Linked DNA regions of Drosophila melanogaster. The protein of the gene in region 1 interacts with the protein of each later gene in a biochemical or structural test. Each region holds a gene or a part of one and is shown on either strand. Other genes may lie near its edges. The genes, in order: Rab6 and BicD.

Region 1 (4,684 bases):
GACGGCTTTTTAAATTAATTCGTGATAAAAAATTTCATGCGAGCCAACCGAGAATATGATAAGAACTTTCAATCAGAGCCCTTGTCTTTCAGATAAGAGCCTATTATAACTTAAGATTATACGATTTTATATATATATATTTCTCTCTTGTTATGATAGACTCAGTCAACAATGAGAATAGATGCAAAAGGGTGTTGAGGGCAATATCTCAAGTTTGTCATTCTGTATTTTCGAGGGGATCCCCGTCCATTGATAAGGAAAATATTATAAATATAATATCTATAAGACCATTGTTAAAAAGGTTAGTTCTGGTAAGAAATGTTTAGATTTTGAAACCATAGTCTCAACATTATTTACTTAACTCACATATTTCACAATGATTCGGTTCGTTATTCTGTTATTGTGCAATGTAAGAAATTGTTATTTACAGCCCGAAAATATGTGAAGCATATAAATCTGTTCGTTGGTTGCTCACCGTGTTCCTCTCTCTTTACGAGATAAGATAAACTTTAAAAAACAGCTCGTTGTTTGATATAGTAGCTGTGATGCGAAGGAAAGTCCCACATTTAAGTGACCGCCACTAGGGACACACATTTGATTGCTTTTATTGAAAAAATAGGGAAAAACTCGACTATTTAGGACACCTGCTGGTTAGCCGATATCCACGATATAAACGACGAGACCTGCACGTAAACCGACGGTGAGTTGGCCTGACCACAAGGTAACTTGCCCCAGGACACGATGCCAATAAGGACATTGCCCTGGACCAGTGGTCCGCCCGAATCCGAGGTGCAAATGCTAACGCCGCCAGTTAGAGGACCAGTGCACAGATTGGTCGAGTGGACATCGCTGCCCTTGGTGCCCAGGGCGCTTTCGCAGGAGCTCAGCGAAATGATAGGCACATTGGTGGCCACCTGCAGGGTCGACGGATAGGAGGCGGTATTCGTGGTGCTAGTGCTGCCCCATCCGTACAGATTGGCGGTGCCAGTGGGCACCACTCCCGAGGATGGTAGCGTCACTGGGGCAACGGCGGCGCTCCAAACGAAGGCGGTGGGCGTGTAGATCATTCCGATGTCATAGGGCACAGTTCCGCCGGTGTACAAGTCATTGATCACGAAGTACGTGATGCTCCGCGTCTGCGTAGTGCTTGCAGTTCCGTCCACCGCGATGCTTCCGGCCACCAAGGTGCTGCCCAGCACCTGGTTACTATTGGTCAGGCAGTGGGCAGCGGTGACTAGCCAGTTGGCATTCAGAATGCTGGCGGCACAGTAATGGGTGCCACCGTACTGCATGGACACCGCATAGGGAGCACTATTCACCGCTGCCGGAGATCCACCCACGACACGCCCCTCGGGTGCGCCGATAGCCACTCCGGATATTCGGCATATGCCCAGTAGGAGAAGAAGCCCACTGGCCAACGACTTTGTTTGCTGTCCGTTCGCTAACATAGTTTTCGCGGAACTGTTTACATCGACCTTTATCGCGGCACGTTTAAATTAATTCGCCATTCCAAAATTTTGCCAGCGCCAGCAGATAAGGCTTTCAATTAAGGACCGTGTGTTCTTCAGATAACCACTTATTATAATTTGAGATTAAGCGACGCCCGAACAGTGACTCTTTGACAGAAGTACGTCAAGTTCCACCGATAGGATGGGCAAATACCTACGCTCGTTTATCTAAAAACAAGCAAATCACTTTAGAGAGCTTTATATTTGAAAATCGCGTTATCACCTGTTAGTATTTCTTACACTTAGTATTCACTTTTTAATATGAAATAAAAAGTTAAGCAATTACCTTGTACTTCATCAGTATTTAAACATTTTAAGCAGGTAAATTTTAGTTAAAATTATTTAATAACGGTAACGAATATCAATCGATTTTTTTTTAAATCATAAAACATCGATTTAGTACAAATATGCGTTTATCGATAGCGTGGCAGAGAAATTGCTTTTGATTGCCACTCTGGTCACACAGCAACTGACTCAGAAGTTAAAGAAGAAGAAGCAGAGACCGTAATTTTTCCACGACTCAACCTAGCGATTTACCAAGCCATTCGAGCCGCAATTGAGTCTTTAGCCAGACGGAAAGCATTTAGAGCGTGTGTAATAGAGTGCGGCAACTTGAAAGCGGTGCATCCCGAGAAATCGCAGTGCGAAAGGGCCCCGAAAACCGCTGGCCCAGCCCCATTATAAACAGTGAGGAGGGGTGGAGATTGGTGAGAGCGGAGCGGAGCGAGAAGAGAGTTCAGCAAACCCGTAATTAAGAAAAAGTAGACACGTACGTTGAGGAAGATGTCATCCGGAGATTTTGGCAATCCGCTGCGGAAGTTCAAGCTCGTCTTCCTCGGCGAGCAGAGTGTGGGCAAGACCTCGCTGATTACGCGCTTCATGTACGACAGCTTCGACAACACGTACCAGGCGACGATCGGAATTGATTTCCTATCGAAGACCATGTACCTGGAGGATCGCACTGTGCGCCTGCAGCTGTGGGATACGGCGGGACAGGAGCGATTCCGCTCGCTGATACCCTCGTACATACGCGACTCCACGGTGGCAGTGGTCGTTTACGATATCACCAACACCAACTCGTTCCACCAGACCTCCAAGTGGATCGATGACGTGCGCACGGAGCGGGGTAGCGACGTCATCATCATGCTGGTGGGCAACAAGACGGATCTCTCCGACAAGCGTCAGGTGTCCACCGAGGAGGGTGAGCGCAAGGCGAAGGAGCTTAACGTGATGTTCATCGAGACAAGCGCCAAGGCCGGCTACAATGTGAAGCAATTGTTCCGACGGGTGGCCGCGGCACTGCCCGGCATGGATTCCACGGAGAACAAGCCCTCCGAGGACATGCAGGAGGTTGTGCTAAAGGACTCACCCAACGAGACAAAGGATCCCGAGGGCGGCTGCGCCTGCTAGAACCGGTTGAGCCGACGATCCAACCATCCTCTCCCCCTTTTTCAACAGCAGGAGCAGATGCAGATGCAGGAGATCGGCCAGCAGCACTGGTGTACACAGGTGTCAGGTGTATGTACTGGCCGGATCTGCGGCGGATTCCTCAACATCTATACACACATACACACTTTACGTTTAAGTTTATTTATAAAGTAACAAATGATAGCAAAGGCAAATAGACTAAACAACAATTAACGAAATCGGCTAACTAATTACTGTTAATTGACGAGCTAATCCCGAGCGCAGGCGAGTGCGAATGCTAACTCATTGACACGAGATCAGGGATCAAGATCAGAGTAATATTTGCGAGTTAGCTACCAGACAAGAATATAGTGTAGTGCATTTCCGATACCCCCTAAACCCTCTAAACGAAAAAAAACCCAAGACCATGTACTTATGTCAGGCCAGGCGGTCCCAGGATCCTCCGACATTCCAGCTCTCGGCATCTCCAGCAGTCGTAGATACCACGCAGCCAGTCTGTGTTCAATGATTCCACCAGCCAGGCATTTTGTTTCCAATTTTAGCCCCCGTTCTGTTCTGTTTGCGGCTTTTGTTTCGCCAGTTTTGGTTAGGATTTCGGTTTTTTTTTTAGCACAGCGAACGCGACTGCTAACTGGAACTGTGGATGGCATAGGACTTGGCCACGTGCATCTTATGAATAAATATACACAAATATAAAATATGTATTTTTATGACTAAAACTGAAACAGATAAGCAGAGCACGAGCAGAGCAAACACTTAACAATATTATTAACGATTTTTGCTTCGATTAGCGAGAGAACTTTGTGCATTTTTTACGCGAAAAGCAAAAGCTTACAAAATTGATAATTGAATAAAAACATAAACTATTGATGCAATTTTTAATAAATCAAATTATGAAAATGAAAAGTATACAAGATACTAGCAATAAATTAATACAAAAAAATAAATTCAAAACATGACTCATACGTTGTGGGTGCACGCACACCTTTCCCAAAAAGTTTTCCGCCAAATGTGGGCCGACTTATCTTATCATTCCAAATCGTTCCTGAATGGACTACAGCGCACCTCTGTGTCGGCATGACTAGTCCTCAATTGCTGACAAATTCCACTGATTCGTCAAGAAACTGGAGTGAAATAGGCGGCTTAAGGTGGATCAGAAAAATACGATTTTTAGTTGGGGAAGCTTAATAATCGTATATTGAATCGAATTGCTTTTATTTGATTGCATGCTCTTCTCTTCTATTTGAAACACCTTAAAATGTGTTTGGATTTGGTTTTTTATTTGTGAATTCCGGTTTCGTAAGCGTAAATACATAGAAAGAACAAAAATGCGTACTTGCTTTGCTATGCAAATGTTAAGTATACTTTTGATAAATAGTTCGAAATAGAGTCTTAGAAGCTGTCCTCGTTGGCGATGAATTCGTCGCGAATCTTTTGCAGCTTTGTGATGAGTTCCGCCACGGAGACCTCGCCGTGCACCTTGTTGTCCCGAGTGCGCACGTTAACGGTATTCGAGGAGCGCTCCTTGTCGCCCACCACCAGAATGAAGTTGAACTGGGCCAACTGAGCATTGCGTATCTTCTTGTTCATCGTGTCGCCGGCATCGCAATCCGCCTCGCTCATGAATCCAGCATCGTGCAACTGATCCCGCACTGACTGGGCGTACTGATCATAGGCAGGACCCACTGGAACGACCATCACCTGGCGCGGTGATAGCCAGAAGGGCCACTTGCCAGCAAAGTTCTCCG
Region 2 (4,946 bases), 5.4 Mb from region 1:
TGCAAATCAGCAAAAAAAAAACCCCTAGCATACATTTCTTGAATTCAATAAAAGCAACATTAAATTACATGCACTGTGTGATATACTTGTTTAATTTTGTTAACGACGGGCAACTAGAAAAATATATGAGGCATTATAATATATATATTTAATATTCATTGAAAATTCGATTGGAACAGCGGCAATTTGCACGGTCATTTATTTATTTCCATTGGATAAAAATGTATATGTATGTATGTATGTATGCGTAATAGAAGCCATTTAAACATTATAAATACATTTATAGTTTCAGCTTAACAACTTAATCTGTGTGCCGCCGATCCAGGCAGGGATCGGGGATCGGGATTCTATCCACTTCTAGGTGCTCGGTGGTGGCTGATTGCCCGGCTGCTGTTCATTGCCAGGATTTGCGTTCGAATTGGGAAAGCCAGTCAATTGGCTGGTCATGTTATAGATCATTTGCACCATGTCATTGGGCAGGGTCGGGGCATTGCCGCCGCCGAACTGCTGGCGAATGGTGTTCATGATCATTGGATTCTGAAGCATCGACAGCAGCTGCTCCACGTCGATCTCGGCGTTGTTGAACAAATTCCTAACCATTGGCTGGGACAGCATGTTGATTAGGTCTTCCCTTAATCGCCCCGTTTGGGGCGGCTGGTTCCTGGCGTTTCTGGCCGCTTCCAGGTTGCTCTTGTACACCTCGTTGTCCGGTTCCAGCTCGATGGCCTTGGCGTAGGCCTGTTCCGCCTTCTCGAAATTGCCCATGTTGGAGTACGCCACGCCCAGGCGGCAGTACGCCTTGCTGTAGTTGTTGTTGTACACCAGGGCGGACTTGCAATCGGTTACGGCGCGTTCGTTCTCACCCAGCCGGATGTGGGCCGCAGCCCGATTGCAGTAGAAGATCGGATTCTTGGGATCGAAGGCGATGGCACGATTGTACTGCAGCAGTGCTTCATTGTACTTGTTCTCCTTCATCAGCCGGTTGCCCTCGTTCTTGATGGATTCGGCCAGGGCCAGGGATTCCGGATTGCGTTCTGTATACAGCGACTGGAAGAGCTCGAACATGTCAATGTTATTGGGAACGGCGGCGGCGGCGGCGCCGATACCAGCACTTCCGCTGGCCACCGCATCATCGTCCGGTGCGCTCGCAGTGCTGCTGCTCTGTGTGGTGGCCTGCTCCTCACCAGCCGCAGCCGGCGCTGCCTCCACATCATCGCCCAAGTCAAAGGCCGCCTGCAGGCACTGGATCGCCACCTCGATGCTTTCGGTCTGGTCCGGCGACATCACGTCCCCCTGCTTCTTCAGGTAGTCAATGAAGCTACGCACGAAACTCTGCTGCACTGCGTCCGGCATTTTGGTTATGCTTTAGATTTCTGTTCGCTTAATTTCGATCGACAGACAAGTTGAAAAGTAAATGTGATTAGGCGAAATGTGAATATAAAATCGAGTATCGATGTGCTACATGGCCCGATAACTTTTGAGACATATATCGAACATTCTGATAGTATGGGAAATGCTGACGCTGTTTACAAACTTTGGTTTCAGCTTAAATTATATTTATATTATATATTTTTATATAAAAATAAATCTGTTGCTTCAAGCATTTTAAATAAAATCATACCCTTAGTAGTGGAAACGCGATTATTATTACCAACGCGAGGTTTGGGTCCGAGCTAAGCGCATTCTTAACGCTTTTCTCCACACCTCTCCGCATTATCGAAAGTTTTGCCTGCGGTCGCACTGAAATTCCGTCACAAACATTGCCAAGAATCGACGTGATTGCGGACAAAATTTTGTTTTTGCACTTGCTTGAAAATTTCGACTCCATCGACGACCGCAGCGATTGGGCCTGATATATACCGCATTTAGCCGTCTACGCCGCAATTGTGCAACGGATAACGAGAATACGCGAAGAGCAGTCGTGCGAACGGGGAAAGTGCAGGGAAAATGGGAAAAACTCCCACTTTGCCAGCGAACGAAAGGAAAGGGGAAATTGTGTGATGTCATTTCGGCTGTTTCTTTTCGAGTTAATTGAAACAACTTCCTGCGCTGCGTTTTCAGTTTCTGCTGCCAACTGTTTTATACGCGCCTATGTGTGCGTACGGCAGTGCGCTGGTGTGTGTGTGTGACTTACAGGCATATATAAATATAGTGCAGAATTATTTGCCGTTAAAAGCCCACGGTTAATTGGCCATTAAGCGCTGTTTAATTTACTAATTTAGCGCGGTGAGTGAAGAGAGGAGAAAACCCGCAGCGATACCATTCCACACACACACACACACGTTCGCATTCAAACGGAAAAGAGAAAAGGTGAAACGCACGCACACACACGCAAAAAGCACACCGCGAGTGGAGTTGTGTGAGTGTGGGGTTTCGATAAAAAAAATTATTTTAAAAAAAGCACTGAAGTACAACAAAACAGTGCGGCATATACAAATCGACTTCTATCGATTTCCCTCCAAAACATAAAATTGTATCGAAAAGATTCCGCCCAGGATAGAAGCATCAACAGCAACAACGAGGAGATTCACCTGCCCACGGGCAGCTGTACCGTCCACCAACACCCACACCATCACCCCCTCCCCCGACCACTAAGGACACCATCCATCCATCATCATGTCCAGCGCCAGCAACAACGGCCCATCGGCGGACCAATCCGTGCAAGACCTGCAAATGGAGGTGGAGCGCCTCACGCGCGAACTGGACCAGGTGTCCTCCGCCAGCGCCCAGTCCGCCCAGTACGGACTGTCCCTGCTGGAGGAGAAGTCCGCCCTGCAGCAGAAGTGCGAGGAACTGGAGACGCTCTACGACAACACGCGCCACGAACTGGACATCACACAGGAGGTAAGTTTGCCTACAATTCTTCGCAGTTTTTAAATGCTCCAATGGGTTATATAGTAACCCGCCAATTTGGCCCCCTCTGTTGCTATGTTTTTCGATCTGTTTCCAAGCAGTCGCCGCTTATCGCCCAGCTGGCCCACTCGCGTACTCACACACACCTTGGGGCACACACACCTACATATTTAGACAGAGAAAACCTTTCCACAACGGCCAACAATTTGTCTTGCTGGCAAACTAACTCGCTCACCTGTTGGCCAGTTTGACTCTCTTTCGGCGAGTCTACCTATCGCTCTGCAAAGTCCGTCTGGTCTGGTCTAGCAGAAATAATTGGGATTCGCTCTCTGATCATGAAATCGGAAACTGGCTTGGCCATATGGTCACGTGCTGTTGTTTTGTATACCTTTAAATACAGTGGAACCGCTTGGGTCGATTGAAGATACTATTCAGTCCGCTAAACAAAACAATAAATAAACTAAAAAATGAAAAACACAACTTAACAGCTGAAAGAAAGCCTTTACGACCGCAAAAAGTATTTATGTATGTTTATCATAGATCATAATCGCTAGCCAAGTGTCCTTCTGTCCGTCAGTATAAAGGCCAAAAAAAGCCATGCGATGCCATTATTCTAGTGATCCTAGATGATATGTGTTGTTCAAATCATAAAGCGATCTTTAAAGTTAACACTATAGCATTCTCATTTGATTTGATTGAAAACACTTAAACATTTAAAATGCATTTGGCTGGCAGAATTATTTCATTGTTTCAAAATTATGTTTTCTTTGTTTTTTTATCTTTATCTTGTCTCCACTGATCACGCTCAATTTGGCATAAACATTGTTTTGGCCTATAAAAATTATCTCAGCTTTCAGTTGGCCGATTGCAGCACGGCCAATCTACTCTTGCCATTTCATTTTGCACCTTTATTCAGTGCCCAACTACCTCCACTTCCACATCCAACTCCTCCTTTTCTTCTTACCACCAACCTTCCTTTCCAATTAGTCCTCGTCATCGCCTGGCATTTCCTCTGGAATTTTCACAGGCCGTGGATTGTCGGGCTCTGAACTGCATTACCAGACGGCAGGGAAAAGTTGTGTCCTTTCCTCGGTAAAAATCAAATGGGGGAAGCAGTCTATACTCATTCAGCCGTCTATTATCATTTCGTGCTTTGGCTTTTTCCGACTGGTGTCCCAACAAGCTTCCTTTTTGGTTTGTTTTGCTTGTTGCCAAAAGAAAACGTTGGTTTAGGCCGATTTTGTTGGAGAAGGGTAAATAAAGCATACAGTAAATACAACTGGTTAAATAAAGATCAGAACAATTATACACATGTTTACTGTATTACGCAAATTAACAAAATCATTTGTTATTTTTAGATTTGATTTTGGTGTAAACATATAGTTCATATTCTTTAAGTATCCCCAATTAGCAAACAGTGCAATTAAAGTTCCATTAACCATGGGGCTAACAAAAGTTAGCTGGAATTAAAATCCTACGGGGGCGTTAACACCTGCACACACGCACACACACAATGCAGGCGGTAACACCTTTTTTACAAATGGGCATATGTATGTGCGTAATACGTATATGCGCATGCATTTTTATGCGCTTCGAACAAAAAGCCTGCCAATTAATTGTTGGACAGGTGGCAGTGCACTTGTAACGTAGCTTGATAGTTTCCAGCTTGTTGGATTTGAACTCAACTGAACTTTTACGAGAACACAAATAAAAAAATGAGTGCGAGGCCAAAAGAACCCTCCACCCACACACACACATTTATAATGGATGCTTAAAAATTACAAAAAAAATAATAGCAACGTCGACGACCACGTCACTGCGGGCATTTTCTGTGTCCCCACAAAAGTGTAAAAAAAGGGGTGAGGTTTAAAGGAAGCTATGTGGAGACTGGGCGACATATTTCCACTTGCAATCAAGATATCTGCCTCGGGCGACCCCAGCATAAAGTGACATAAATCAGCGGGCAGACGGCAGCGAAGGAGGGCCAAGTTTCCGTCTTGGGTTGGAAATTAGCTTACTGAAATTAACTGGGTATTTTCCAAAGAGCCCCAGGCGCAAAAAATTTTCCCATCGACTGCGTTTTAATGCAATAG

The links.
Region 2: the proteins of Rab6 (region 1) and BicD form a complex in vitro, tested with the Drosophila melanogaster proteins (one study listed by BioGRID).

The regions. Positions count from the first base shown.
Region 1 is NT_033779.5:12,106,407-12,111,090, reverse strand, and holds Rab6 (Rab6), read left to right. Parts: upstream 1-1,974; 5' UTR 1,975-2,291; coding exon 2,292-2,918; 3' UTR 2,919-3,870; downstream 3,871-4,684. Other genes in the region: Phae1 (phaedra 1), read right to left, coding at 636-1,448; ThrRS (Threonyl-tRNA synthetase), read right to left, coding at 4,329-4,684. UniProt on the Drosophila melanogaster protein: Protein transport. Regulator of membrane traffic from the Golgi apparatus towards the endoplasmic reticulum (ER). Mediates membrane trafficking during egg chamber growth and organization, possibly upstream of exocyst component Sec5.
Region 2 is NT_033779.5:17,469,995-17,474,940, reverse strand, and holds the start of BicD (bicaudal D), read left to right. Parts: upstream 1-1,725; 5' UTR 1,726-2,616; coding exon 2,617-2,844; intron 2,845-3,088; exon of another isoform or gene 3,089-3,338; intron 3,339-4,946. Other genes in the region: Sgt (small glutamine-rich tetratricopeptide containing protein), read right to left, coding at 358-1,353. UniProt on the Drosophila melanogaster protein: This protein is essential for differentiation. It may play a role in localizing of Nanos (a maternal determinant) activity in oocytes. Functions redundantly with BicDR.